2 linked regions of the Alligator mississippiensis genome follow. The protein of the gene in region 1 interacts with the protein of each later gene in a pairwise test. Links are inferred from orthologs where the notes say so. Each region holds a gene or a part of one and is shown on either strand. Other genes may lie near its edges.

Region 1 (15,794 bases):
AAAGGGTAATGACATCAGACGCTCAAGAGGGATATTTAAGGAGAAGGCTGCACCACCAATAACTTGGAGAGACAGAACTAGGGCAGGGGGAGGGCGGGAGGGTAGGTAGAGTGTGTCAATAGAGAAATGGAAGGAAGATTAGGTGAGTAGGGCTTTGATTTTGATGGGGCATCTGAGTAGGAAAGAGGAAAAGGACAATGTTTTTTAAAGTTGTTTTGAAGGCTTGTGACAATAGCTGCTGGGTTAGATACATCCAGTTATGTGACAGCAGTATTAACCTTTGTAAGTGAGCTGTCATGTGAATCAGACCAGCCAGTAGTTATTACACTTTTAATAAAGGACTTGCATAGAATTTGAACTCTGGAGCCCATCTGGGTATTGTCATGTCCCTGCTTTTTAAATTTCCCTTTCAAAATATCTCCTCAGGATTAGGGATGATGAGCTATAAAGTCTTAACATGAGTCAACTTGCTCAGCAGATGATTTGCATGACTGATCATCTCTCTAGATAGACAAAGCAATCCTTTGACAGAAACCAGGATGGGCTATGATATTTGAAACAAGTTCTACTCTTGCTTGGTCATAGTAAAATTATCCTCAAATGTTATGGCCAGAACAGGTGTCAAAAACCTTATTGATATAACAAGCGCCTAGCCTAGTTTTGGCAGCTCTTGTAATTTCTATCAAACTTTCTAGTAGTAACCTGAGACTTTCCAGGTTCTGCAGTGTTCCCTACCCAGAAAATCCAGGGGCATATGGACAAGGTAGTGGGTGCATGAAGAATTGGATGGACTGGAGGACATACTACCATCTGTATTTTTCTTTCCTTGCCCCTGTTTTGTGTTGGGTGCCAGGGAAACTTCAATAATGTCAAAGTACCTCCCACTGAAGAGCTGTCTAGAGCTCTTCTCATTATTTCCCATGTCACCCAGGTGCTGAAAGAAGAATTTGTCATATAAACAGGATTTACTGTAAGCAGACAGTAAAAGCTTTTTACCTACCAGTGGTTTAGGGACAGGAGGCAGTGGTTTCACAGAACTGGGTGTGCTATGTAGAGTTGTATCTATTGTGAAAGAGAATAAAAATAAAGCAATGTGAAGCATGAATATAAGGCCTTTTTCACTGATGTTGTTCAACTGGTGGCTGAGAAGGTGAGAGCACTAGTGCAGAAAACCCCCTGACCACTGCCAGCATTTAATCTCCATGTTTGTCCTCTCCTGTGTGAGAATAACAATAGTTAAAATGCTGGAGGCTCCCTGGAGTTTTCTTACAGGAGTACTCCCACAGATGCTGCTGTTAATTGTTTCTAACCACACTCAGAAAGAGACACAACACTTTTTGCAGTTATTGGTATTTAAGAAACAAAAAGAGCATTTGCTATACTGTTCCCGCATTTGCTATACTGCTTGCCTCTCCCTTTCCCTTCTTCTGCATCCTAATGTGCAGACAAGCTTACTGACAGCAAAACAATTGCTTCTTGTATTTGTGATGGTATATGGGTTTTATGGTGTTATTTGCATGTATATTTGCTTCTGAAGGAACATAATACCATTCAAATTACTATAATAAGTTAACTGGCAAGCCTTTACAAGGATAATACATTATGTAGAGTTTCTGTGCCCTCCCCATATATATAACACCTATATTCACACTACAGGGTATCATTAAGGAGTTCACCATCATTAGAACCAAATTTTGAAAAGGGGCCTCTAAATGTTGGTTAACATATCAGGCATATAGATTGGGTTCATAGATGTTTAAGCCTACATTTTCATTCATTTCAAATGATTCCATTTTTGAGCACCCATCTAGAAACATGTCAGGCCTGATTTTCAAATGTGCTGAGGAATCACAGTGAAGTCAATGGTCCACATAAGTGCTCAGTACCTCTAAAAAAATCCATCTTTCAATGTCACTTGCTCAAATTGGAGGCATACATATCTTATGCCCACTTCCAGAATGTAGGTCATAAACAGGGAAGGAGAGTTGCTTTCCCCTCGCTGTCAAGTTAAAACCTCTAGTACATGTATTCTTAGATCATTGTAGTTAATTTCTAGTCACATAATCTAAAAATGTAAACCTAAAGAACAAATGAAATAAAAGACATGACAGATTCTATTTTTAATTAAAAAGAAGAAAGTTAAAAGAAAAAAAGTGAAATTCCAATACTATGGCATGGTCTGAACATACTGCTGGAGTCTCTGTTCTCAGGTGTGTTGTATGTACTATCCCAAGATTTCTAGGCCTTCCACTTCAATTAATATATATTTCTATTTCAATTTTTATTTTACATTTTTGCCAAATGGTGCTGGAAGGGTGGGGTGGGAGGGGAGGGGAAGGACTCATGAATTGAGTAGTGTAACTAGGGGTGGGCAAGAACCCCTCCCACCCCTCCAAAGCACTAAGTTAGGAGAGGTGCCAGAATCACTCCCCAACCTTGTGCAGTCCATGCCCTGGCAGCATTCTCATGCCAGGTCCCAGCTGCTGCTGTTGAAAAGCAACAGCCAGGGTTGGCAGAGCACATGCAGAGGCAGCAACAGCTCAGCTGGGACTATATAGGAGTTCCTGGGGTGGACAAGACTGCCGCCCCCTCCCCACTGTTTTCAGATCCTTGCCCCCCACACCAAGCTCTTAGAACTGGTGCCACCTCGCTCCCATGCCTGCTCTCAAAACTGCATTCTCCACCGGCTTTCCCACAGAATTGGCCCCAGGTGCCAACTCTGCTTGTTAGGCAGCTGCATTAGTTCATGCTATATGAGAATTTGCTTTACTTTAAATAATATCAGGTTCCCAGAACTACTCATCTTTTGAAATAATCTGATTGGAACTTTTTTTTTTAAAGTAAACTTGCTAACCAGCAGCATATAGTTTAATAATGGTTAAAATTTTGTTTCAACTATTCTCTTGAGTCCGCTGTGCTTATTGCAAACCTATTTTTTTAAAATGCAGATTCCAGAAAATAGCCAAATAAGCTTAGAAAGGGGAAAATATGGGCCTGTTTAGAAATATTGTCCAGTTTATAGATGTGATGAGAAAGGTCAGTTTTACTTTGGAGTAATATCAAACTGAATCCTTTAAAATAGATTCACTTGTTTTCTGTGCTGAGTTTGTGTTGTTTGTAGCTAATCTGATTATTCAAACTCTAACAATAAAGAATTTTGGTTTTATTTTCCTGTAGCATAACTGTATTTTAACCAGAGAACTAAAGAAAGAAAAGAGTGAATTTACTTTTGCTGTCTCGTGAACATACAGTATAATATTGCCATTATCTTTTTGAGCAACCATATCAAATCAGAGTATTTCTCATCTATCACATTATTTTTCCCTAAATGACATTGCAGTATTATTAGTGGAAGTTAAGCATACACATCAAGAGGAATAGTAGACAGCTTTTATATCTACCAGTTGATTAGAACTGTATGTACTGATTATATGGATTTAGTAATATAATGAAAAACACCATTAAAAACTAAAAACATATTCAAAGGGAAACACAAATGGCACATTACATTTCTCCCAAATGGTGCATCCAGGAGCTCCTTTACAAGTCTGGTTGCAACAGAGGAACTTCCCATTGGTGAAGAAGCCTTTGTGATACTTGTTCAGTAAATCAGCATTCCCTCTAATTTCTGGAAAAACAAGGAGGAAAAAAGAACTTGAACAGGCTTCCTGATAGAACATGACTTGTAAGTAATATGGACGAGTTGACTCAGTAGTTGTGATTCAGGATTATAGGGGAAGACAATGACTTTAATAGACTGTTAGAAATCTTATTTAACTAATTGTAGAAGGAACAAATAAAATATTTAATATTTAAAAATAGGCAAGATGATTTTGTCCTCTAACTCTATGCAATTAATACATATTATAGAAATAAATGAGATAAAAAAAATAGCTACCCAGTACACCAAATGGCAAATTGATTGTGTGAAAGAATGGAAAGCGTATTGACTAAGTCAAGAAGGAATAACCTCTTAAATAAACACTTTATTTTGTATTAAAAATACCCCTTCATTCTGTAGAAATGGTTTCAAATATTGTAAGTGACAATAGTGACACTGTAGTGTTTGAAGCCAGTGCTTTAGGGTTCGTATTGGAAAGTAATTAAAAAAAAATTTAACAGTACAGGGTGAGGTTTTAAAACCAGTTGCTCCATATTTATATATTCAAGAATTCTGAGAACCCACAAAGATAGGAGCTACTGTGTGTTTGTTGAAACTCAACCCCCAGCTATTTATTAATGCTTTTATATCTGTCCTTTCCTTAAAGAATCATAAGCATTTCACTACAGTGCACCTTGCTGGCTTTCTACAATATTACGCTACTTCTCAGCAACCTTATTTTAAGAACTATACCTTGCTAGATTGCCATCCTTGAATATAAATTCAGCTGATGACAGTGAACCAAATCTTAGAGTTACTTCTTACAATAAAGGCAAATGAACAAAATTATGGTGAGTTAAAATATGGCAGGAACATACTGCACAGAACTTGATATGTAGTATCTATTCGCCCTCTTTTACCCCATGGTAAGTGAAACTGTCCTGGGGCAGCTTTACTCCCCATGAAATAGGACTACGTTACTAAGTGTTAGCTTCCATTTACTTCAGGGTAAGAACAGGCATGCAAGCTGTTACCATGTGTGGTAAGCCCCTGTCTCCTATTAACTCACTGTAATCTGTGCTTTTGTCCATACTCTAAAGGTCAGACCCCATTCTGATATGTCGAACAAAACCAACTTAATGGACAAGAAACTCTGTGAAGAGGAAGTCCAGGAGTTTCTATCATGTAATACTGTCAGGCAAATAAAATAGGCAGAGGATACATCTATCAAAAACGTCATCTATCAAAAACCAAGACTCTATATATGAAAGCCCTCCAATCATCCACTGGCCTTCTGCACCACTCCTTTATCTGTCCACTTAGATCCCTGCTGGCCTCTGCCTCCAAGCTCTACCTAAGAAGGATTTAAATAAAAAAGCTATTTTCAACAATTTCTCCCAGTGAAAAAATGGAGAGAAAATCTGTGGGCTCATTTTATTTTGACTTATTTTTAATGAAAGGTTTTAACTTTTTGAAAATTTCTGACCAACTCCTATAAAAACTTTAGATTTCAGACCACTGTTCTATAGAGGGGGATTGGGACTGAAAATTACTGATAAAAATATTGCATGAAAACAATAAAATTAGAGTGTTTTTTTTTTATTTGCATGAATTCTATGAACAAATCTCCTTCATTTTTAAAACAAACACACAAAACATCCCTCACAAGTAGTAAAACTAACCTCACCTTTTTGTAAGGCTTCCAGCCATCGACTTTGGCTCTCTTCATTAGCTGCGTAGACATAAAGAAGGCCATCCTTGTACACTATCTAAAAATACAGGAAAAGCAATTCACTGTACAGTCAGTATATCTCAGCTGGCTCAAAGTCCATTAACTGTAATGGGGTGGGAAACAAAGGGTATGGGAACATGTATAAGGAACCCAAAAATCAAGCTCTGCAGAGCAGCTGACACCAAAAGACATGAAGAGCCAAAATATCTGGATTCACAGTTAAATAACTGTTCCCTGATTTTCTATGAATATGAAGTAAGGGCCTTAACCAGTAGTGCTTCAAGTGGCCAAGTTCTAGCTGGGATAAGACCACAATTTCACATCATAATTAGAAGTAAAAAGCCTATATACACTATGGTTCTTCATAGAATCATAGATTATCAAGCCAGAAGGGGCTGTTGTGATCACTTTGGCTGGCTTTCTGTCCCATTAAGAGGCATACAACTTCCCTGAGTCAATTCCTGATTGAATTAGGGCAATACTTTAAGGGAAAAAAAATCACTGATTCTTTTAAAGATTAGATGGAGCATCTATCAATGGCATATTAAAACAAAAGCATGTGATATCCAAAAACACACTTTTCATGTTTGTATATAGCATTACAGAAAAATAAACTATTATACACACTTGAATATATTCATAGATTCATAGATGTTAGGGTTGGAAGGAACCTCAATAGATCATCGAGTCCGACCCCCTGCATAGGCAGGAAAGAGTGCTGGGTCTAGATGACCCCATCTAGATGCTTATCTAACCTCCTCTTGAAGACCCCCAGGGTAGGGGAGAGCATCACCTCCCTTGGGAGCCCGTTCCAGACCTTGGCCACTCTAACTGTGAAGAAGTTCTTCCTAATGTCCAATCCAAATCTGCTCTCTGCTAGCTTGTGGCCATTATTTCTTGTAACCCCTGGGGGCGCCTTGGTTGTACACAAGATCTCATCTACATTCCACTGAAGTGAATGAGAAGGCTCCCGTTACTTTCAGTGGTCTTTGGTCTTAGCTTATAATAGTGGTCACTAACCAGACAATTGCAATTGCCTGGTTGATCAGGGAGCCCCTGACAGTTGATCACAGTCTGGGGAGGGAGGTTAGTCCCCCCCAGACTAAGATCGACTGTCAGAGGCTCTGTAATCGTGAGTGGCAGGACACATGTGAGGAGTGGCTGGGACACAGTCTGGGAGTGGCAGGACATAGGAGCGGCAGGACGCATGTGGCTTGCCCCATTCACAGATTGGGGGGGCACGTGCCCCCCCCAAATGTGGGGCAGTGCAGGCAGCTGCAGCAGCAGTACATGAGGGAGTGGGGCTGGAGCAGGAGCAAGCCCTGCAGCCAGGGTGGGGAGGGACAGAGCCATGAGAGGTTTGTTCGGGGGGTGCGGGGAGGGGGGTATGCACTCCAGGAGGGCACAGGGGGCATGTGCCTCTGGATCTGCACATAGGGTGGGGTGAGGTGGGCTTCAGCTGTGGGCTGGGGCCAGGCTCTAACCAGAAGATGAGTTGCTTATGGCTCCATTCCACCCCACCCAGGCTGCAGGACTTGCCCCTGCTCCAGCTCAACTCTCTCCTTCACCACCATTGGCAGGGGGCACAGATCGAGGTCCCAGCAGTGAGAGAGGGAGTGCAGCTGGGGCTGGGGCCTCAATCTGTGCCCCCCCCCCATGGCCCTTTCCCCTCCCCCCACCCCTTCCCACACAGACTTACCTGCTGGGGGGGGCGCACCCCTAAATAATTTTTTATCCCTCTGCCTTGATCTGCCCCCCTCTTCCTTCCCCACAGACTTTCTTGTTGCAGAGGTTGTGGGGGAGGAGGGGTTGGCAAGGGGTAGAAGTAGATCTTGGTTTGCTTTTAAATTCCAAAAGGGATCTCCTACTGAAAAAAGTTGGAGACCACTAGTTTATAACAGTATGGCTTCATTTTCAATCTGCTACAAGTTTTTGTGACAGTCAGGAGTGCCACAAGATATTATTCTCTACAGTTAAGATCCTCAAAATCTGCAGGAGGACTTTTGTTGCCCTTGATATTTTGGAATCTCACCTGAAATGGATATTTTCTCTCCAAAGGAGTTGGTTCATCAAGATTCACAGTTTCAACACATCGTATTTTCTTAATATCAATTGATCCCTTTTTGCTTCCTTTTTTCTAAGAACAGAAATCAAAGTAAAATGCAAGTTTGTGCTCAGAATTTCAAACACAAAAATCAAATCAAAATTAATTGATCAACATGAGTTTTACAAACTGATGCTTAAATGTAAGCAGTAGGGTAATTGCATGTTTCACCTAGAATGAGTATTTTCATTTCTTCACTTTTATTAATATTTTTGGAAAGGTATTAAAAGACATTCATGGCATCTTATCTTGTATTCCAGACATGGACAAAATTCCCTTTGAAATTAAAGTAAAAAGATTACAACACTGAATCCATCCACCAGAGAAGAAATAAAAAAAAAAAGTTCTTAAATTGGAATGCACAAATGAGGAAGGGGAAATCACTGAAACATAAAAAAAATAGGTCTGGAAGGGATCTGTGGAGGTCATCTAGCCATCCCTTGCCACCAGCAGGCTTATATCTACTTAGCATGCAGCAGACCCTAATAGAAAGTGGGAGTCTGGTTATTGTCTTTATTACTTTGTTAAGATACATGGGCCCAATCATGCAACACTTACTTATGCAACAATTCATAACACAAGCGTATGCTGTTCAGTCACAAGGGAGGACACTCTTCTGAGTACTCATTCTATGATATGCAGACATCTTACAGAGCACAATTGTGCTTAACCATTTACTTTAGTGTGGAATAAACTCTACACTGACCTGTATACATTAATTCTGAAGAGCTGTCAGATATGCAAAGCAGCTCAGAGGCTGTCAGTAGGAAAACATGCCTGTTCAGGACAGTATTTAAGTATGTGCTTAACTTTAGGCATGCTTAAGTCTTATTGACTTCTATGGGAAATAAGCCTAGCTCTGAGGTTAAGCATAAATTTACATGCTAGCCTGTAAAAAGATAGACTTATACATGGACTTAAATGTTTTTCTGGACTGAAATTAGAGTTTGGGCCCATACCATTTCTAAACAGAGCTTTGAACAAAGTATACTAGCATCCCTGCTACACGGTATCTACATTGATGAAGAAAAAGAGAGGAAATTCAAAGTTTTGGCTTTTGAGACAGACAGGATCTCTGCCCCCTGCACACATGCAGTATTTTGTGTTACTATATATGCTAAAAAATACAAGTCTTAATATGCATGTGCAGCTATGACTTTGAATTGCTTGAGTCTTATGCATTTAAATTGTCATGGTATAATTTCAGTATTAAAGAGTCTAATTTTACACAGCTGAAGCAGATTTTATAAACAGACTTTGGAAAATCTTTGATCTACATAGTTAAGAAAAATGATTTCATACCTGTTTGTCATATTCATGGTAAGAGAGATGTGTTTTTGTCAGAACAAACAGCCTTTCTTTGTAATTATTTGGTGACATTTTTTTCTTCTGTTGCGACTTCTTTAAAAGAACTTCTTCCAAAATTGAATTGTTCTCCATTTTGTTACCCTAAAAGAATTGCAAATAGTCACTTTTATTAATAATAAGACAAATATCTTTAAAACAGCAACAAGATAATTGCCCTTATTAATGGATTATAAGGAATTTTAAAATCAAATTGTAATGAATTTCTAGCATGCTGTAACAAGCTGCTATGAAGACTGTATTTCATATTTTATGAACATGTAAAACAGATTAGTTTTTTCACAGTAAAAAATAAACAGATTACAGGAAAATTGAAGGTTAAGATAATGCTTCAAGTAAGTCATTCTCTATCCCTTTGTTGCCTGAACATTTTTCTTTTTAAATTCTTGCTTTGTGTCTTCAAAGGAACTGAAGCTATGTTAAGTACAGATATGTCATACTTGAGAATTGTAAGGAAATCATTCTAGCAACAATCAGGAACAAAATCTTCAGGTTGCTGACCAGAAAAGCATGTCCTTGTGTTGGTCAGATTGGACATTTTCAATTTCGTCCTGTCAATGCATATAAACAACAGTCTCACTTATCATGTAAAGAGAGGTAGTTGGCCACCTTAGTTTGAAGTCATGCACAAGGCAAGACAGGGTAGCATTTTAGAGACTGACTGGTTTAGACATGTGCTGTCATGAAAGCTTATGCCCTTCTGAATGAACAAGTCTCAAAGTTGCTACCTTGCCCTGCCTTACCCTGTAAAAAAAGAGTCAAAAGGTGAAACTATTCAATTACAGTTTGTATTAATTAGTATGTACAACAGTACATAGTAGAAGGAGAAAACCCTTTGATTTTTTAAAGCTTTGTATTTTAAGTTACCTCGTTCAAATGTTGCACTTGCAGGAGAAAGTATGTCCTTTGTAAATTGCCCTCTGTTTGGAGTTCCAAAAGGAAGTGTCCTGCTGAGCTGTAATGTGCATTATGTTCCTTTAAATGCAGAGAGTCTATCAGAAAAAAATACATTTGCATGCCATTCATCACACCTACCTCCTCTGTCCCTATCATCATCAGACATCTATGCTTGTTCTTCTAGGTTGGCACATATTTTCCATAATTCAATTTTAAACCTTTCTTCTCAATACCCCTCAGTTACCAGCTGGTATCTGACCCAAAGCATTTTGATCCTCTGTCCCAGGTAGATCCCTCCCATCATGAGATAGGCTTGTTCAGAAGTAGTGGAGTGGTTAGTTCAGAGGTAAGCTAACTTGTAATTTCTCTGTCACCTTTACAATTACAATGTTGTGCCCCTTTCATTCAGAATGATAGGGTGTTTGGCCTTTTTACCTTGGAGCTGGACTGAATGAATGGTGGTCAGACATTCTCCATATTGCTGTCAATTCAGCATAAGCACAGGCTTAAGTTTAAGCATCTGATTCATCTCATCACTCTTCAGCAAAGCACTTACATATTTTACTTTGGGAATCAGGACCTCTGACTACTTAGTAGCTTGAGTTCTGACAATCTGTTCCAGAATAGTTAATTTCCTTTTTTCTTTCTTTTTTTTTTTTTGACTAGGGGTTACTGGTAATTTTAAGTTAGATATGAAGGATTTTTAATTAATTATTTTATAAAGACCTACTTGAAAAAATGGTGGGGGGGAGGACACATGAAAAATGTTGAAATTTCAAATGAGTTTTAAATACAGCTCTCAACTTGAAATGAAGCATTTTTTGCTTTTAAAATATTTTTAATGAAACAGCTTTTTAAACTTCTTAATGTTATTTTCCTCCTCCTCTTTTTCTTTATTTTTTTCTACTCTGTGACATTTCATTCCTATTTTTTCAGTATTACATCTTGGAAAAAGACAAACAGGCAAAAGAAAAAAAAATTCCTGGTCCCAAAATGCCTGGGATATACAGTTTTAATCACGCCCTTACTGCTCCCAGACCATCTTTAATAATAAGCCATTTTGCACATTCTGTTAAATAAGGGGAGATGATTTAGATATTAATTTTGAAATGAAAAGAAAGATTACCATTTGAAGACAATACTAATAGTTTGAGCCAGTGTCTAATGACTTTAACAAGGAACATTAATAATGCTTGTTGGATAATTTTGACAACTTTTTACTTGTTGAAAATATTAGTTTGATTCAAGTAAAATTTTTAATCGGAAAAGTACAATTGTATGGGTAGTTTTTATTCTTCATTTTTAGGTTTAGAAATTGTCAAAACATTTTATTTTGTTTTTAAATGAAAAACTTCAGTTTTCTGAGTTATAGTGACTTTCTTTTAGAAATTTAAGCTAAACATTTGAAAAATTAAAAACTGTTCCTAAATGAAATATTTTGAAGTTATTAAAAAAAAAATTGTCAAAGAATCCATTACTGATAGGCTAACAGAAGGCAATATTCTGAAGGATAGCCAACATGGCTTCATTACGGGCAGGTCTGACCAACCTCATTTACTTCTACAAACAGGTAACTCGCCACCTGGATAGTGGAAATGAGGTTGATATCATATATTTGGACTTTAAAAAGCCTTCAACCTAGTCTCCCACAATGTCCTCATGGTAAAATTGGGAAAATGTGGCCTTGACTACTTTACGGTCCAATGGCTAGGTAGCTGGCTCTGTGGTAGGACCCCAAGAGTATAGATTGATGGAGCTGAGTCAACATGGTGGAAGGCAACCAGTGTTGTCCCTCAGGGTTCAGTAGTCAGACCAGTGCTTTTCAACATGTTCATCAATGATTTGGATTCTGGTATTAAAAGCAAACTGACAAAGTTCATGGACACCAAACTATGGGGGAGTGTGGTCACACTTGAGGACAGGCTGGCAATACAGGCAATCTGGATAGGCTTGTGAGGTGGGCAGACCTGAACCTGATGATGTTTAATATGGAGAAATATAAAGTGCTCCACCTGGGGCGAAATAATCCACAACACACATGCAGGCTCGGCAGTGCTACGCTTGCCAGCACTCCAACTGAATGAGACCTGGGTGTTGTGATAGATCACAAAATGAACATGAGCCACCAATGCAACGCTGTAGCTGGCAGAGAAAATCAAACACTGGCATGCATCTACCAAGGCATCCTGAGCAAAGCTAAGGATGTCATCCTCCCTCTCTACTCTGCCTCAGTGAGACCACAGCTGGAGTTCTGCATCCACTTCTGGGTGCTGCAATTCAGGAAGGATGTGGAGAAGCTCAAGAGAATCCAAAGGAGGGCTATGCACATGATTAGAGGCCTAGAGACCAGGTCTTATGAGGAGAGGCTGAAAGACTTGGGACTGTTCAGCCTAGAGAAGAGCAAAGTCAGAGGGGACTTGGTGGCAGCATATAAGTATATCAAGGGCCCAGGGGAGCATCTGTTTACCGAGGCCCCCCCCAGGGGAGGAAAGAGAAACAATGGGTACAAACTGATTGACGATTGCTTCAGACTGGACATACGGAAAAACTTCTTTACAAGTCAAGTGCCAAAGGTTTGGAACAGGCTCCTTGCAAAGGGGATACAGTCACCCACCCTGGTGATCTTGAAAAAACATCCTGATGCCCACCTTGCTGGGGTCACCTGACCCCAGCAGTCTTTCCTGCCCAAGTGCAGGGGGGCTGGACCTGATGATTCCTTCCAGGTTCCTTCCAGCCCCTATCATATATGAATCTATGAAAACATTTTGAATGAACTGACCCAATTGTTTTTTATTTTGATGTTCAATATTTCAGCATTTTTTAGATGCTGTCTTTATTCCTATATGAAACAGTAAAGTTTTGAAAAGTCTCAAGAATGTTCTAATACACGATACTGTTAATTTCTTTCATATGGAAGGGAAGTTGCAATGGCTAGTGTGATGCCAAAAAGCTACTAAAGAATTTTTAAAATCAGCATTTAAAGTAAGAGAAATACGTTTGGATGTATTGCAGTAGGACTCTAAGTTTCCATAATGCTTGGAAAAATGCCTGTTCTATAGGTATGTAATCCAAAAAAATGCACATCTGTATAACTTTTGGTATTTTGATGAACAAATGCAAAGAAAATCTTTAGTATTTACTGTGTATGGTTTGAATTAGGCCAATAAAGAAAACCAGAAAAGTTTGAGCAACAACAGAATGTAGTATTTATTTTAAAAGGTTGTTTTCTTGCTTTAATTTTCCCTGATTTATAACATCCTAAAAATACTTTTTTGTGGAATTAAATATTTGCTTTGATCTCATTTCTCTAATGTAAATACAAATGATGTATAAGTACATTTTATTGTTTCAAGAGGACAATGAAGAATGCTTGATCTGGAAAGAATCTTCAAAGGGTGTTGGATTTAATGTGACCATCCTGTATCTTCTGAGACAGTCCCAGTTTCTGGCAGTGTATCTGAGTGCCTGTAATGGGTCCCTGAACCCCTGAACACTTTTGACTTGAAATTGGAAAATTCTTCCTAAATCAACTCACTTCCCTCAATGCCATATCCCTCTAAAATATTCCTGTGAAATTAGGTATTCCCAATGTCTGGCTACATCTGCTGAGAGGTAAAGCTAATTTGCCTGGGTACAGTATGAGATGAACAGTTATACTGCTTCTAGTTTGGTTTTCTATCCACTAATTCCTCACAGCTACCACTCACAGTGTAACATTAAGGCAACTACCCTGACAGGCCCTAAACATTGTACTGACTGCTCCCATTCAAGAGATGCATCAAGCATCTAGGACTGAGCTGATCGTTTTAAGTGCAGGGAGTTTTTCCTTGGTTTTAAACTGCAACAGAGTGTTCTGTGCCTCAACACAATCCCCATTGCTTTTTGTGACCCCATGCTGGTCATGAGCAAAGATTGGGAAACATAGCTCCAATGAAGCAAAGGCATTAAGTCCTTTATGCTTTTCAGTTGTGGATCCAGTATCTTTTTTGGAGAGTAGCAGCTAGACATGCAATAAGAGAAGTGGTTAGTTGTGTTAGTCTGGTCCAGCAGAAAGCAGGGCAGGATGGCACCTTAGAGCAGGGGTGGGCAAAATGTGGCCCATGGGCTAGATGCAGCCCACCAGGCCCGCGGAGCCCCTAAAAAATTTAGAAAATTAAAATTTATCTTCCCCTGGCTGCCTGTCATGTGGCCCTCAATGGCTTGCCAAAACTCAGTAAGCGGCCCTCCGCCTGAAATAATTGCCCGTCCCTACCTTAGAGAGAAGCTGGTTCAGAAAGGGATGAGCTGACGGGCATGTATCTGGCATGGTTTGGAGTGGTCTCTGACCAGTGCCCTGTTTTTGATCAGAGGGAGACCCTGGCACACATGTTCTTAGAGTGCGCCAGGCTGCAGCCCCTGTACCTCCTCCTCCAGAACCTGCTGCTCAGGTTCTGGCTGCACTTCTCCCCACACCTTTTTGTTTATGCACTCCCTATCCGTCGCCCCACCAAGGCCTGGGACCTCCTAGTCAACCTCCTCCTGGTGCTGGCCAAACTGACTATTTGGCTAACCAGGTGGGAGGCTCTGGCCGGGAAGGTTCCCGGGGACACTGGGGCGTTTTTCCTCGGTGTCCTTGCGCACATCTCCAGGTGGAACATCGCTGGGCAGTAGCTGCCGGCACTCTAGCAGAGTTCGAGTGTTGGTGGGCGCTGTCCGGCATGCTCTGCTTGGTGTCCCCCAGGGAGCACTTGTTTTGGCTCTATGACCTTCACGTGTACACCCTGTTTTTCATTCTTTGACCCCGTATTTATTTGATTTTAATGAGGCTCTATGCCGCCTGACAGTGGCAGCACACATGATTTTAGTGGGCTAGGCCCATGGCCCATTGCAATCAACAGGTCAGAAAGGGATGAGCTTTTGTAGGCAACAAACTAATCACACCTACAAAAGCTCATGCCTCTCTGAATCAGTTAGTCTCTAAGGGCACTTGTACATGTGATGGGGGTTTAGTTCCCTAAATTGAAATGGTGGGTTTTTAATTGTGCCAGTTAAAAACTCACCATTTCAATTTAAGGGCTTCCATCACTGTTATGGCAGGGAGCCTAATCCTTTTTTTTTTTTTTGAGGAGCCTGCTTGCATCTCCTGTGACCAGGCGGTGAGCTGCAAGTGGGCCAAGTGGCCCTTGAGCTGTGGGGGGCCCCAGTCCCACCTCCCACAGTGGCAGTGCCCCCCGAGGGCTGCCCAGGTAGGCTGCTAGCAGGTGGGTGCTGCTCCAGCTCAGGGAACAGTTGGATCAGACCAGGTGCTGCCTCTGAGCTGGGGCAGCACCTGCCTGATAGCTGCCTGCCTGGGCGGCCCCTTGGGGCACTGCTGCTGCGGAGGGAAGGACCGGGCCCCTCCATAGCTCAGGGGCTGCACAGCCTAGCAGCAGCTTGTGTGGGCAGACTCTGCCAAAAAAAAAGAAAAAAAAAAGTGGTGAGTGGCCTGATCCTTCACCTCCTCCCTTGCTGCTTCCCCCCCCCCCGCACGTGTACAGCGTGATGCAATTAAAGCGCAAAAATGGCCAATTTTCATCATGTGTACAAACACCCCAAGGTGCCAGCCTGCCCTGCCTTCTACAAAACTGAGTGACACAAAATGGGCCTAACATCTGTGCTTTGCTTGAAGTGTTATTTAGCTTGTTTGCTACCTTCTCAATTTCTTTGCCCCTTGTTTTTGTGGAGGCCTAAATTGGCTTGCTTCACATTTGCCCCTCTGGGCTGTGTCAGGAAGGAAAAAACAGATATATAGTCCAGGGAAAGAGAAATGAGGGCCTCCCAAGGACACCCACTAACATGCGCAGCTCCAAAGCAGGTTTTCCAGAGCAAATTATGTTATTGGTCACAGGGAGGAAGGGGGTAAGAGGAGGGGAGTGTTTATGTGCAAGTGGATGTGCGTATGTGTGTGTGAGAGAGAATTTGTGTGTATGTGTAAGACAGAGGGGAGCGTATAAGAGAGGTTGTGTGGCTGTAAGAAGATGTGTGTACATGTGAGAGGGTGTGTGTGTAGGTGTAAGAAAGTGGGCTGTATAAGAGAGGTTGTGTGGGTGTAAGAGGATAAGTGTATGTGTAAAAGA
Region 2 (15,794 bases), on another chromosome or scaffold:
CATATACCATGATCCAGAAGGACAGACAGTTGCCTAGATGATATAATGTTTTCTCATTTATTCAAATACTTCTAAAGGTAACAGCCCTATGCTGCGACTACTTTCTCCTCCACTAACAGAGACTAAATGGCTCTTATGTAAGACCTTCTACACAAGTGGTCTCCAACCTTTTTATGGTGAAGATCACTTTTTGGAAGTAAAGGGCACCCCAGGATCTACCACACCCTTCCCCTGCCACCCCCTAGCACAGGTGGGGGGCACGCCCCCCCCATAGACCTGGACTACCAGATCTTCCCAGATCCAGCTGGACTCATCCCCATGAGTCCCCGCTGCTGCGCTGAGCTGTGCCTGCACGTAGCCAGCTGCAGCATGACTTGAGGTGCAGCAGCAGCTGCCTATGCTGCCTCCGCCCCCGCAGAGATGGGGAGGGAGTCCCCCAGCCTCCAATCCTCCCATCACCCTTACTTTCCCTTGCTCCTGGCTGGGCCACACAGTCAGTCGCTCAATGTAGGGGCCTCGATCTGGCCCCCACCCCTTCCCTTTGCCACAGATCAACCTGTTGAGGCTAGGGGCGGTGGGTGCACGCGTGCCCAGCTGTCACTCCAGCTCAGGATCAACCTGCCGGTTGGGATCCCCAGGTTGATGACCACTGCTCTACACTTCGGGGGCACAGGGAGATAGTGAACAAACCACATCAGCATGTGTAGAACCAACCCCACTGGAAATCCCAAAGTCAGGTAAAAATGGACAAATTCAAGTGCTTTCCTCAACAGGAACCTAGGCCTGTATGCAAGTTAAAACTAGGGGTGCATTAACATAGATTTTGGGGGCTGATACCGATAGCCAATTTTTAAGGAGGCACATCGGCTGATACTGATCCAATTTCTGACATAGCTGTGCGCGGTGAGTAAGTCTGTTGTAGTGGAAGAGAGGGAAGGGAAGGGGCATGGGGGGCAGATCAAGGCCCCTGTGGTGAGGGAGGGAGTGAGGCTGGGGCAGGTGCTGCCCCGCCAGCACAGAGCACAGGACCAAGCCATGGCTCATATGGGGGGGTGCGGCTCCTGCTGCTGCGTGCACCCCGGGAGGGCACGGAGGGGGTGGGGGGGGGCATGTGTACCTAGAGCTGCACAGGGTGCAGGTGGGGTGGGCTGCATCTGTGGGTTGGGGCCAGGGCTGTGCTGGGCTCTTCCCGGCAGGGGCTGGGCTGTGTTTGGGGCGGACGGTGATGGCACTGGGAGGGGGGGCTGCAGCCACCCCAAATTTCATCATATCCCACCTGTAGCCCCCCTTCCTAGCGTTGCTATCAGCTGCCCTGAGTGCAGCCCCAGCTCAACCCCCAACTCCCCACACACCAGAAAGAGCCCCACGCAGCCCCAGCCCACAACTGTAGCCCCTTCCATTCCCCCATGCAAACCTGCAAGTGATGAGGGTTACATTTTTTCCTGTAACCCTTTATGGATATTATCGCCTCCTTATTACTATATCTGATACAACCCTCAATACAAGGGAAATAGGCAAGTCACAGGGGAGTCCAAAGATGATTGAGGAGGCTGAGCCGAAATCCACATGTTCCGCTACAGACATGTCAAATAGCTCTAGGAGGAAGGAGTAGATCTAGTGATGTCAGGTCACAGCTCTTTTTATTTGTCTCTCTCATCTATCTACCTCCAAAGTGAGATGAATTTGCTCAACATGGTTAATCCCTTATCATAAATCACTGTGCCTTTGGGGACAATTTGGTACTTGAGTCTCCCAGGTATTGATGTTAATATTGCAGTACTTCAGATTAGCCTTCAAAGTGCCCTTGAATCTCTGTTTTTGCCCACCCCTAGAGTAGTGACTACTGGTGAATTGGGAGTATAGGACCTATTTCAGGAGTCAGTTGTCAGGCATCCTTGGGACAAGTCCTGCCCAACAGAGCTAATGTCATATAAACATGGCTTCAATGCTGGTGGCGTTTGCTTAAGCCAGAGCAATGACATTCATTCTTCTGTTCCTCCTATTGATATGGAGGATATTCCAAAGACAGATATATTGTCCAAGTTTCGCACCCATACAACAAGGTAGTGATGACAACAGTTGGTAGATGAAAAGTTTGGTTTGGGTCCCTTAAAGACCCAAGATATTAATGATAAGATATCAGAAACATCCAAAGGCAGCACCAGCAGATTTTATCTGGTGTTGAATCATCAGCAATCCCTTGCATTCGAGGATGACTGTCTTCCATGATTGCTTTAGATGGCTAATGAGACCGTTCTGGGATCGACAGACTGTTCCAACTCAGGTACGTGTTTCTGTGCAGGGTGGGTGGCTCTGGATTCTTGATTCAGTCCATGACACGCTGTTTCTGCTGCTCCTGCTTTTCTGTCTCCTGTTGTCATTGTCAGGTTTCAAAGTAGTGAAATCCTTGCAGCAGACTCTTCCACCATCTAGAGTGGTCCTAGGTGATAATCATCTGTGAGTTGATGTTAATGTTACATTTTTTCCAAGTTGGCTTTGAGGATGCTTGAAGAGCTTTCTCTGCCCGCCTCTTGAGTGTACGCCTTGACTGAAGTGGGAAAATAAAACTAGCTTTGGGAGTCTAGAGTCAGACATCTGGATGATGTAACTGGTCCAGCAAAGTTGATTTTGGATGATCATCACCTCAATGCTCATGGTGTATTTGCTTCTGCGAGGATGATAATGCTGGTGCCATCTGTCTTCCCACTGGATTTCAAGGATCTTCCACAGGCAGCGTAGATAGTATTCTCCCACAACTTGAGGCATCTCTTGTACATTGTCCATGTCTCAGCTCTGTACAGTAAGGTGGCAATCACAACTGTTCAATAAACTATAAGCGTGGTTTCAAATCTGATGGTGCAATCTTCAAATGCTTGTTTCCTCAGGAATTTGAAGACTGCACTTGCATTTTTAAGCTGATGTTGGATTTCTTCATTGATGTCAGCCTTCTGCTAGAGATGGCTTCTGAGGTACGGGAAATACTCAATGTTCTCCAGTCTCACTGTAAATCTGGAGTACCAGAACTAGGGGCTGTGATCTATGTTTACTTTTAAAACCATTATCTATGTTTACTTTTTGAGAAAAGTGGCTACCCAGCTAGGGGAAATGCTCAACATTCAACCTTTAATTGTAATACGTGGAACAGCACTTGGCTTGGGATGTGTTGGTAAAGTATCTTGAGTTTTGTGAGCATGAGCCCAAGTATTTCACACATTTCACAGAAGCAATCAAGAGTGACCTGGAGCTCTTCGATTGACTGAGCATATATGACACAATCATCAGCACATTCAAGATCAGTAATGGAGACATTGGGTTATCTTGAATTTGGACTGTAACTGTTTGATGTTAACAGTACATGCAATATTGGATGTTGAGTCCAGATAGAAGTCTATCAGCAATGTGATGCACCACAGCTGCGATACAGATGGAAAAAAGAACATTAGTGCAACCTCACATCCTTGCTTGAGTCCAGTTCTAATAGTGAAGGAGTCCATTTCCAAGCCACTGCTTAAGATGGCTGTTGTCATGTCATCATGAAGAAATCTGATAATGGTAACAAATTTTGGCAGCTTCTCTGTTGACCTGACTAAGGCCTTTAATTCAACCAACAAAGGCCACGTAAGATCTTGGTGTTGCTCATGGCACTTTTCCCGCAGCTGTCTAGCAAAAAAGATCACATCTATTGTATCCCTGAGCAGTCTGAAACCGCGCTGATACTCAGGTAGAATCTCCTCAGCCAGGAAAGCGAGTCTGTTAAGGAGAATGCAGCCAGGCTTTTCTCAGCTATGGACAGGAGTGCAATACTATTATAACTGCTGCAATTCGATCTACCAGTCTATTTCCTTTTTTGAATGTGTGGCTATAGCAGTTACATTCATATACCAAACCAAAAATTCTTAAGATTATGTTTTGCCCTATACTGCTAGTTTGTGACACATTATTACTGTTTCCAAACATGCAGTTATCTTACTACCACATGCAGTAGTTACTGCCACACTGGTAAACAGAAGAGTATGTTCAATTTTTAATAATTTTGATAAATTATGGATTAATATTTATGTTTTTCTCCATTATTTAATTTCCTACGGAGTGAAACTTTCCTTCAACAATTCTATCTACATGATAAATAACTTGTTAAAAGTCTTTGTCTTAAGCAATCTTACAAAGGAATAAATAGTACCACCTGTCACAAGACAGGATAAAAGCACACACACAGAAAACAGTCTATGTCTAGGGTAGTTAGAGAATAATTGATCAATTTCCTGAAGAGAAGTAGGGGACACTTGGTAAACATTAACTGGAATGCTGATCCAAGCACTAATAGGTCAGGAGTGAGAAAGGAATAAAAAAAACGATCACAGAAACTTGGGTGTAGTGAAGGTAGTCAGAAAGGGGAAAGGATACAATGGGGGCAGTGTGTTAGAACTGAATAAGGAAAACTTTAATTTAATTTTAAAAAGTCAAAGTTAACAGAAAAGAGTTAAAGCCATTGCAAAGATGACCTTTGTAGTAGCCCTGTGAATGGACTGAGTTAGTGGGGAAAGAAAAATTAGGAGACGGTAGAAGCAGCTGAAATCAGAGATTACTAATAATATCTTGGCACTAGAAATGGGAAAGAATAGATAGTGGTGATGACAAAAGAGGTAGAAGGACTGAAAGCCTAGTGAAAGAGGAAGGGGGAACAATAACTAAGCATGTGTAGGTTGTAAGCTTGGATAACAGAAACTAAAAAAAGGGCTATTGACAGAAAAAATTGGGAAGAAAACTTGCAAGGTAAAAATGATGAGCTCTCTTCCTCAGAACATGCTGAGTTTGAAAAGAGGATGGGATGGACATCCTTTCAACATCATTTTGTATTGGTTTGTAAATGCAGCTATCCATTTGCCATCTCTAATGGGATAATATAGGATCCAGTTAGGAGGTTTGGGCTTGATCCCACAAGTGCAAGATGATTCCTGAACCCATGTAGCCAACCTCCTATGGACTACTTCACCTGAATTCTGTATGGTACCATAAGAGGAACTATAACGGGGTGGGCAACTATAGCAGGGGCGGAGGGCCGCTTACTGAGTTTTGGCAAGCCATCGAGGGCTGCATGATAGGCAGCCAGGGGCATATAAATATTAATTTTCTAAATTTTTTAGGGGCCCTGCGGGCCAGACAGAATGGCCTGGCGGTCCGCATCTAGTCCCTAGGGCCGCATTTTGCCCACCCCTGAACTACAAGCACGTACCCAGTTTGAGGATTGAATCTCTTCTCACAACTGTCTTATTATTACCCACTTTGGCTGCTTTAAAACAAAAAATGCAGACTGCTGAATTTGCAGTCATGGGAGAAATTACATTTCATAGTGCTCTTTCTTTGGGGCTCATTTTTCTCCCTCGCTCACTTATCTTTGGGTAAAGGTCATCCACAAACACAAATGCAACTACTGTCTCTACACAGACAATTCACAACTCCACCTATTACTACAGGACTGCTTTCTTATCTATACTAAAAATCTTAGTCTCTCTCTCTGGTTTCCCCCTTCTCTGTCACATCCAACGTACACTGCTTGCCAGCATTTTCAAAGCCCTCCAACTGATCCTCATCCTTCCCGTGCTCTCATGCAATGCTGAGGTCGACTCCAGGCTCCACCTAGCACATGACTTCAGGCTGCATTAGACACACACCTTTGTTCCTTTTGGCTGTCCCTTACACCTGGGAAGAGTTGCCCGTAAGCACCTGCAAAGCCACTTCATTGTTCTCACTGTTAAAAGACTCCTTTCCTCAGGACTTACAAAAACCTTGACAAAGCTTAGCCTGTTATATCCTTGTCTCCCACACTGGTCAGCACCACACCTACTGCCTCCTCTTGAGTATATGCACTTAAGCTGCTTATAGAAGTAATTCCCCCACAAAATCAGTGCTTTACTTTAAACTCTGTGTGCCCCTGCGTTGAGCCCAGTGCATGTGCACTGTTTTGGCACTGTTATCTAATAGCTGGTTGAATCAGCTGTAAATAAAAGTGCACCCACCAAAGCGCCCGATCTATACAGACACTGTGAAGTGGGGTTGAACCAAACACTGCTTCTTCACGTAAAGTGTGTTTTTGTTTTCGACCAGTCTTAAGGGCAGGGACTATCTGCTCAGGGTCAGACCGACCGGCGTACTAGGGGTCAGCAAGGAATTTTACCCCACGGTCAGACTGGTAGGGACGGTAGCGGGGGCCCTCCGACTGCGACCTCTTGCGTGCATGTTAACTAGACGTTACAGGAGCAGGACCTGCTTGACTCGTGGGGCTGACGTTAGTCTCATGTCGTGGGCAGACGATCAGCTGCAGGGACGACTTGGACAGGGCTGGTGCTGGCCGCACTACCGGCCTCTGGAGGCCCCTTCCCGCCCCACGAGTCTGCGCTGCGGGACGGGAGGCGCCTAGCCTCGCCCGCGGGCCCAGCGAGGAGCACGCGGGCGGCCAGGCCGAGTCCGGCCCCAGCCCCAGCCCCGGCCGGACACTCACCCACGTAGGCGCCCAGCTCCTGCAGCTTCCCCTTGATGGCGCCCTGGGGAGAGACACACTCGCGTTAGGCAGGAGCGGGAAGGGGGCCTTCCCCGGCCCCGGCCCCCGGCCCCGGCCGCACAGGCCCTGCTCCCGGGGCCCGACCCCGCGGCGGGGCTGGGCTGGGGGCGCCGCCGCCGCCTCACCCGGATCTTGCGGCTGATCTCGGTGCCGATCTCCATGGCCGCGATGGCTCCCTCAGCCGCGGGCCGCGCCGGAGCCGGGGGGCCGCGCCGGGGAGAGCGCGGCCGCCGCCCGCAGCGCCCCCTGCCGGCGCCCGGGAGAGCCCGGGCCTGCGCTCCGCTCCGCCCCGCCCCCGCCCCCAGCACGGCCCTGGGCCTCGGCCTGCGCCGCCTGCCAGGCCTCGCCGCGCCCGGGCAGCGAGCGGCCACGTTTTAAAATTCGCTTGAAGTACTCATGGCTGGGGCTTCGGGCATGGCCGGCTGTTGCCCCAGGGGCTGGGAAAGTCCGGCTTCAAGCACCGCACTCAGCCCTCATCAAAAGCCCCCGCCCCCCAATAAGGTATTACAGCGCAGGGAGAGGTCTGTTTGCAGGGGACAGGGGGCCCACACCAAGAGCCAGGAGGAGCTAGCTGCCCGTTGAGTCCAGTGGCGCGGCAGCCTTAAGCAGGCAGCTGCCCATTTTGAGGCGAAGCCGCTCGCCCTTGAAGCACAGGAGAGAACAGAGGAAGGAAAAAGAGAGACGTCTTGGCCTACGGCCTGTTCTCCCCTGCGGAAAGACCTGCAACTTCTGCAGACAGGTCTGTGGCTCAAGGACTGGGCTCTGAAGTCACCTCAAGACCCCTGGGCATCTAGTGCCACCTAAGTCGGGGGTGGGGGCACATGCCCCCCCCAGTGACCAGTCAGCGGCCACTCTCGCTGACCAGGCAGGGGTCCCCCCGTGGCCAATCTCACCGACGGCACCCCCACTCCCCGGCCAGCGCTCGCAGGGGGAAGACCCGTGCTCCCGCCTGCCCCCCGCCTGTTGCGTGAAGGGCAAGCAGGGCTGGTCAGGGGGGCGGGCCAGGCGTTGCCACTGTCGAGACCTGTCAATGAGCTGGAGTAGAGACTGTCCTAAATGGAGGGATTGCGGACAAGTAAACAGGGATGGACTTTTAATCTGCATAGAAAGGATGTGGATTTGTTGTAACCTGCCAAGGGCTGGGTATGTCTGACACTTCACAGGGTACCTTTTTCTTTTCGCTGCCGATGAATAAATTAGATGGTGGCATTCCTCCTCAATGTCCACAAGGTCTCAGAGATGCTGTGAAAAAAGAGCAAAAGGAAAGTGGGGAAGAAAATGGATTTGTAAAAAGGAGATATGGTTTTAACACCCTCCCCCCTGCAATAATCGCCAGACATCTCTATTTTTCTACTCTTCTTCTTTCAGGAATCAGGATTTTCTCACTGATCTGATGAGAACTGTGTGCAAATGTCTCTGGATGTGAAGATCACTGGATGCCATCCCATCCATCGTAGGTACAGTTCCAACCATGTTCCTTTCATTAGAGTCTGGTCCCATGCCAGCCCTGGGATTATCAAAACGTGGGGTGTGGGCAAGGTGGATTTAACCACCTGTACAAACCAGCATATCCTGGCTGTACTGACCAGCACTGCCAGGATGGAGAAAGGTAGCGTAAGTGATGTTGTAGCCATGATGGTCCAGATGCGAGAGGCAAAGTTTTCTTAGAGCGATATCTTTTCTTGGACCAGCTGTGTAGTTGGGATAAAGTTAGACAAGCTTCCCCATGTAAGACATTCTTCCTCAGTTTTCTGAATCTAGGAAGCCGGGCACAGCAAGTTATGCACTGCCTAGTGGAGGGTCTGAGAGAAATTCTCAGGCGCAGCCAACATACAGTTAGGAAAAGGAAGGAGAAAGACACAGTCTCAAGTCTAGAAGGCAGGGTAGATTTGCCCCCAATACCGTGTGCACACGTTTTCCCGAGCTGAAGCTCACTTCATGAATGCTGACCGGAGACAGCTGCATGCAGCCTGTCCCTAACGCAGGGTTGTCAGCTGGGGGTACATGTACCCCTGGGAGTAATTGAGAAGTCCCTAGGGGGTACATGCAGGCAAGTGGGGATGGAGCGCTGCCACCCACCACCTCATGCTGCCACACAGGCTCCACCTACCCAGCTGAACACCGAGGGCAGGGAAAGCTTGCACGGGGTGGCCGCAGCAGCTCTGCATTTGGCCATGCACTACCTCCTGCCCCACTCCACGTCCAGCATTGCCCCATGTGTGCTGGGGCTGGGTGGCCCCCTCTTGGGCTGTATGTGCTCTGCGTGTCTGGGCAGGCGGCAGGTGCGCGCTGCGCTGTGCACAGACAGCTGGGGGCCGTGAGTGCTAGCTGTTTGAGGTGGAAAGGGAAGGGAGGGGAGGGGAGAGTGGGGAGGTGCAGGGAGGGGCCCAGCCCCTTGTTCCACGAGCTCCGCTAGCTCATTCCTCCCGGGTAGCGGTGCCAGGAGCAGCGGCTGCTGCGGCTGCCCTGCGCTTGCCACCCCTCTCCCCCCCCGGGGTACACATATTAAAAAGGAGGCCGCCAGGGGTACACTTATTAAAAAAGGTTGAAAATCCCTGCCGTAAGGCATAGCCTGATGGAACCTGTTTCCTTCAGGAGGAACAATCAGCCTCAGGTCTGGTCTCTTTCCTCACACCACACCCAGCCTCTTCCACAGGGCCAGCTCAGTGTAAAGGGCCACACTGCCAGGGTTTGAATTATGGGAGAGCTTGGGGGGGCTAAGCGCCCCCATAAGAGAACCCCCCCCCCCCCCCCGCAACAGCCCGGAGCCCAACCCACCTTGTGCTTTTCTCAGCAGCCCTTCCGGCTGCCACTGCTGTTGGGGATCCATGTGCACACCTTGACCCCAGTTAGGTTTTTTCTGCAGAATCCCTGCCGTGCGCCCCCCCCCCCCCACCCATGTGCCACACACTGCAGCATAAATGACTGGTACCTCCTGAGACTGGGGGGGGGAGGGAGGGCACAATTTGTGGGTGGCAGTGTTGGCGGCACAGTGGTGAGCAGTGGCCACCCGCAGAAGCCAGCTGGGAGAGAGGGGTTATGAGTGGCAATTGGCGAATGCCCACAGAAGCCAGCAGTGTCAAGTGGAGACCACCAGCAGAAGTTGGCGGCAGTGAGCAGTAATCAGCAATGCAGAAGCCAGCTGCCATGTCAGCCAATCTTGGGGGCATGTGCCTCCCCACCTATGCACGGGAGGAGACCCTGCTGGATTAGAAATGCCCCGTACTTATGATCTTTGGGGCCCTGGAGAGGTGGTGCCAGCATTGGCAGGTCTTAAATATGAAATTATTGTATTGGAACTCAAAATTACCGTATTTGCTGGAAAAAAAAAAACTATCATACACTGAAAACGCATGCAAATAAGTTTTCTTCTGTACTTTATGTTGATCACTGTAAGTCCTCAGTCTGCGAGCAAGAACGTGGAAGTGGAAGCATTTCTTTATTTCAAGAGGCGCAGTGTTAGGAGGTGCTGACAGCCAGCCCAAAACCGGATTAAGATTCTCCGTGACTTGAGTTTTGCATTCGCTGCATCAATGACCTGCCTCAAAAGTCATCATACGTTTTAAACACTTTTACTATTATTGACCCTGCGTTGTACGAGGGCTGGAAGGATCTTACAGACACCATGGCTGTCGTACCCCGGCAAGGCTGGGCAGCGCCCGGGGTGCGGCTGCCGCCAGCCGGGCGGCCCGGACACAAGAGCACGCGGCGCCCCGGCTCCGGGCCCAGCCTTGCGCCCTAGTGCGCGTGCGCCGCTGGCCGGAGCTGGCGCGGGGACCCCGAGCACCGGCCGGCACTGCCGCATCCCCCGCGCCCGCGCCCTTGTCACACGGCAGTGGCGTCTCCCGTCAGTGAGCCGCGGCTCAGACTCAGGCGTCCGCTTGGTGCCTGTGACCGAGGCACCGAGTAAAGGCTCCTTGTTCCCGGCACATCCCGGAGGGGAGGAAGGGGGTGCTGCACGGGCACGGGTCAGCCCCGGGCAGGACCCGCGTTGTGCACCCGCCTGAGGCGAGGGCGGGGCGGCCCGGCCCGGCCGCTCCCACGGCTGCCACTAGCGCTGTCCCGGGGGTGGGCGCAGGGTGGCAGGAGAAGCAGCGGCGCTGCCCCGTCCCCGCCCCCGCCCCGCGCATTCCTGCTCCCTGAGGTCACGGGCTGCGGGCGAGCACTTGGCGGCTCCGCGTATCCTTCCGCACGGCCGGGAAACGCCTCCAGGCCACGACACTCCCCGCCCGGCCCCGCGCACAGCGCCTCCGGCCCCCGCCAGCCTGCGCCAGGGTTACTTGGCCGGGCCGGTGCCGACTCCCCGCGCAGCGCCGTGACCCGCGGCGGGGCTGTTTTCAGTAGGGGCGGGCGGGCAGCGGCTGTCCCGGCGCAGTCGGGCCGTGCGACCCGGATTGGGGAAGGCGCCTGCGTGTCACCGGATCGCGGCGGCAGGTAACGGGGCAGGGGCAGGGCAGGGCAGGCGCCGCGGGGGACAGCGGAGCTCTTCCTCCCTGCTTTGTTTCTTCCTCCCCCGGCTGGTGAGGTGACTAGAAGCAGCCTGGGGGACGGAGGTGCCAGAGGAAGTTTGTGATAGTTTGCTGGTGCGCTTTGCAGAGCTGTGCTGGGGTGGCCTGAGACGGGGAAGAAAGTGCCCTACTTGTTAGGCTGCTCCGCATAACCATGAAATAATGGTGTGAACTGCAAGTGTTAGCCATCCTGGGCACCTTGTTTCTCTGCCCTTCATTGTACTTTTATGAGGCAGACTCATCCCTGGAGCTTCACCTGTTTTAAGTCAAATACGAGGCAATTCTCAGAGAGGAGCTAAGAGTTGTAGAGAAAGAGGAGCTACCTATGACAATCCTTGGGACTCCTGTTTGGCTTGTGAATATTGAAAACGATATATATGCGTTCAGATATAGATGTGTAAAATCAGACGATCAAAAAATGTTTTTTAGTTCCCAGATAGATACTAGGCCTGCTTAATAAAGGGAACATTCACAAGAAGTCTAAATAGCAGCCAGACTTTTGCATTTCCAACTTCTGGCACTATAGCACAGGGCTCTTTTGTCCCAAAGTAGCAGTACATTGAAATAATGCGTGAGACAAATATGATACCAGCTGGTCTTTGGAAATGACAGCTGCTAAATAAAAACAATATTGCACTGTTTGCAAGAACTGTGCTTGGCCAGCAGTAGAAGTTGTCAAATGACTTGTGACCAGTACTCCTCCTCCATTCCCTTTCTTGTGCAACGCTAGTGTATTTTGTTATTTATCAGGGGCTACCTCTGATGTAGTGCATAAGAGGCACTGGGATCCAAGCTCAGTACAGGTATTTGAACTTATTGTACCTTTCTGGCAATGTTTTTAAATGAAGTAAGTGTAGTTTAGAAACAAGAAAATGCTACCAAAATGTCTAATTATTAGAGTGAAAACTGGGGGATTTTTAAGAAAAATGTTCCAAGAATACAATATGACCTTTAAAAATTCCTTCTTTGGATAAGGGAACATTAAGTCTGATTTAAAATTCCTTCCTAGGCAATTTTTTTTTTGTTTGCATTAAAATAAAATGATAGAAAGCAGTGCTGTTGATCATGCTTGTTAATGGAAGTGTTAACTTTCTTATAATGTCACCTGTCTGTCTTTCTGGAGGTTTTGAGTTGTATAGACATTATTTGGCAACATTATTTGGTGTCTGTTTAAAGGATGTCAGGAGATGAAAAAAAGATTGAAAAACTTAATTCCTTTAAAACCATGATCAATCAACACTAAAGTTGTGCCTGAAACTTGAAGAAGTCTTCAGCATTTGGCTTGCCTTAGTAAAGAGGGGCAGTGAAGGTGTGTAAGAGAACGGTGCTATGGTCTCTTGTACAACCTGCTTAACCAAGGCATGGGGATATGAGCTGAGGTCAGTGAGCCAAAGGTTTTGGGACCGGAAATAAACTCACTTGGCTCTGCAGGGAAACCTGTTTCTGTCTATTAGTATTGTAGTAGCATCCAGAAATGGATTAGGTATTGCTTGGACACGCGGGAAGACTCAGATTCTGAGCTAAGCTGCATCCTCTTGCCTTTGAAATCTTCCAGTAGCTGGGACAGGGAGGAGGCAGCCAACCATTAGAAGCTCCTGCCAAGTAGATATGGAGGGTCTTCTGAGCCAGAGCCGCAAGCATGGCACCGGTTCCTTTCTCTCCTGTGTCTTACCCCATCACCTCCTTGCTTTTCTTTATTCTTTTCTATTGTGCTGGAAACTTTCGACCTGAAAGAAGGAACTACATAACTCAGGGTGAGGAGTCAAGTAATGTTTTTTCTTTGATTGCCTTAGAATAGTCTAGCACCTAAATATGGATTTGAGCATCAAATGTATTAAGGGGATAAACCTAGAGTGTTCTCAGGAAGTCCAGTTCTTCTTCCTGCCCTGACACAGTCATGCTGTGTTCTGTCAATAGGTGTTTAGAATTGAAGCAAGAGAAGACTTAGCAAATGGCAAGAGTGGCCAGTTGATAGAAATCCAGGCCAGCACCTCATCTGCAAGATGTATTATTCATATGTCCCAATCTGATGAGATGGTTGGGAAATTGTGGGGATTGTGACAGAGGTAGCTCATCTTTGGGAGCTCAACATGGATGGTTTGGTTCTTTCTTACCAAAAGCAAGGGAGCGTTGAGGGTCTCATTCTCTGTTGTGGGTGGGTTGATGCCCTTGTATGGATCTTTGGCCTAGGTGCCAATCCCTCCAAAACAGGACTGAGTGGAAGCTCCTGTAGCACAGGCTTGTGGACTTGTCCCACTGCAGTGCTGCAAGTTTCTGCTTCAGGACTGGGTTGACGGCTGCACTCCAAGGCGAGGGCTCTGGTGCCCCTGGGTCATAGTTCTTGTTCTTCCAGTAGGCTGCGGGGAAATGTGCTTTCTGGCTCTGCTCCTGCTGGCAAAGCAGTGTCCCCATGTTGCTGTGGCTGGTGTGATCCCCTCACAGGCTCCAGTGTGAAGACAGCTACAGGTTCTGCCTAAGGAATGCTGGCCGAGGCATGGGGCATCATTGCCCCACCGGCATAGACCGACTGTCAGTGGGAGACAAAAACCTCAGTGTTTGATCCCCTTACCCTGCACCCAGGCACTGCACTGCCTGGCCTGGCTGCAGGGTCATCTGCCCTGTGTGCATCGTGCCATGGCCAACAGCTGTCTTTACAGCATGCAGGGGCCTGTGCCAATGTGTTCATGGATTTCTTTTAACAGCGAGCAGACCCTGAGGCAGCATTTGGGATGAGCAGGTCACTAGATGACTAAGGTTTGTAGGGCTCATGAAAGAAGCCTTTGTTATTTGAGGAGGGAATTTAGAAAATAAAGTATTACTACCTTCCTCCCCCCACTGAAATGGAGCCCACTGGTTTGGGGGGGGGAGAATGGAGAAGGAGAAAGGAGTGCTGGCACTTGAAACACTGATCAGCTGCTCAGGGTTGCAGCTAAGTGCTGATATGGGGAATATTAAAGGAATAGAACAAATGACACTGGCATTGGTTAGGATGCAGTTGTTACACCCCTTCTATGACCAAAAATGAAAGCTGCATTTTGCCCAAAAGGGAAGGCCTCAAATGATACAGTAGTGAGTAGCCCTAAGGCAGTGTTGGAGCCTTGGTTTCTCTGGCCCCCTCTATACACTACAGGTATATGCAATTAATTGGAGACCAGCTACTTGAGCAAAGTAACTATCATGCCATAAAAAGCTCCAACCAGCTATAAAGTTAGACCTGGAAAATGTACTAGCTTTATAGCTGGTGCTATCCAGCTTTAATTTGAATGTGTAGCAGGTTCTTCTCTGTGGCTGGGCGTCCTGTCAGCCGTGGGCTCTGAGCCACAGGGGTGCACCTTGCCCAGCCAAGCCTTCGAGTCCCTCAGCTGCTAAGACCTAGAGTCCAACAGCTGTGGACACTGGGTGTCTGCAGCATGCCTTCTGGTGCTGGGCCAAGCAGGACCCTGGCAGCCACAGGGCACAGCTGTGATCTGCCAGCCCCAGGGGTGCTGAAACCCCCGAGGCAGGGAGATCCCTGCTGCAGAGATCTCCCTGCCTTAGGGGGCTCCCAGCCACAAGAGCTTGCCTCTTGCCAGTGAGGGGGGAGCCTGCGCCAGCAGTAAAGCACTATGGGATCTAATGCACGATCCCACAATTGCACCTCGCGCCATGCATGTGTGGCAGGCAGGAGGTGTGATTCTGTGGAGTAGATCCCATTCCACCTTTACCTGCATGTATAGAGAGAGCTTCTTTGACAGAAAGCAAATAGTTCCATATACTGACTTGCAGTTCCAAATGCTTGGGGCACTTAGGTTTTCCCAGGAGATTTTTCATACAAGTACTGATTCAGTTCATGAACTTATTAGTCGTTCATACGGCCCTTTTTCCTTTACAGTCATTTAACAGCTTTACTCATTACACCATCTGGCTGATGAATAAAACTGAGCTGTTGTGACTTACCAAAGGGCATTCTATCAGTCTGTGGCAAAGCCAGGAATTCTAGTTCTTATTCACTTTTCCAACCCTAAACAGAGTTCTCTGAAGGAGAAAAATGCATCATGGATTTAGAAATATATACTGTAATTTTGTAGATTTCACAAGTTTCTTATTGCCCTTTCAAGTAAGTTGCTTCTGACTTTCTCTCTTCTTCTCCCTCTTTAGAGTTCTTGCGAATGTTCCCTCCACTAAGACCTTGGTGGAGAACCTGCTCTCCTTTAATGGCTGCTGCTGCCGCTGGTTGATCAGTGGGAGACTTTACAGTTCCTTACTCCTTGGGAGGATACGTCTACTTCCCTTATTTATTTTTCTGTGTGGTGGTATTTTTTCCACTGACCGCGTGGGTGGGAAAAGAAGATGCCACTGCCTTTTGGGCTGAAATTGAAACGAACTCGACGTTATACAGTATCCAGCAAGAGCTGCTTGGTGGCTCGCATCCAGTTGCTCAACAATGAATTTGTGGAGTTCACCCTCTCTGTGGAGAGCACGGGCCAAGAAAGCCTGGAGGCTGTAGCTCAGAGGCTTGAACTTCGGGAGGTAAGCAAACTAGCAACTGGACACCTTGACTTCTCTAGCCATCTATTGCAGTGGATTACCTAACCCAGTGATTCTCTACTATTTCACACAACAAAGTATGCCCTTGAAAATTTTCAGGTTAAATTTTGTCCTGTAGCAGACATCTCAGCTTCCCTTTAATTACATATGTTCTGATCCAAAGTGGAACTTTGGCTTTTGGAGCAGTTCATCTTGCAATT

What was found.
Region 2: the proteins of BMX (region 1) and PTPN21 interact in binary tests that used the Homo sapiens proteins (3 or more experiments, as listed by UniProt). The link is inferred for Alligator mississippiensis from reciprocal best matches to the Homo sapiens genes BMX and PTPN21.

What each region holds. Positions count from the first base shown.
Region 1 is NC_081824.1:322,787,911-322,803,704, forward strand, and holds the start of BMX (cytoplasmic tyrosine-protein kinase BMX), read right to left. Parts: upstream 8,883-15,794; 5' UTR 8,878-8,882; coding exon 8,740-8,877; intron 7,471-8,739; coding exon 7,366-7,470; intron 5,371-7,365; coding exon 5,289-5,370; intron 3,629-5,288; coding exon 3,509-3,628; intron 1,063-3,508; coding exon 1,001-1,062; intron 1-1,000. UniProt on the Homo sapiens protein: Non-receptor tyrosine kinase that plays central but diverse modulatory roles in various signaling processes involved in the regulation of actin reorganization, cell migration, cell proliferation and survival, cell adhesion, and apoptosis.
Region 2 is NC_081825.1:271,803,660-271,819,453, reverse strand, and holds the start of PTPN21 (tyrosine-protein phosphatase non-receptor type 21), read left to right. Parts: upstream 1-6,868; 5' UTR 6,869-7,298; intron 7,299-7,927; 5' UTR 7,928-8,016; intron 8,017-9,956; 5' UTR 9,957-10,993; intron 10,994-15,204; 5' UTR 15,205-15,396; coding exon 15,397-15,576; intron 15,577-15,794. Other genes in the region: ZC3H14 (zinc finger CCCH domain-containing protein 14), read right to left, coding at 6,500-6,542, 6,685-6,720.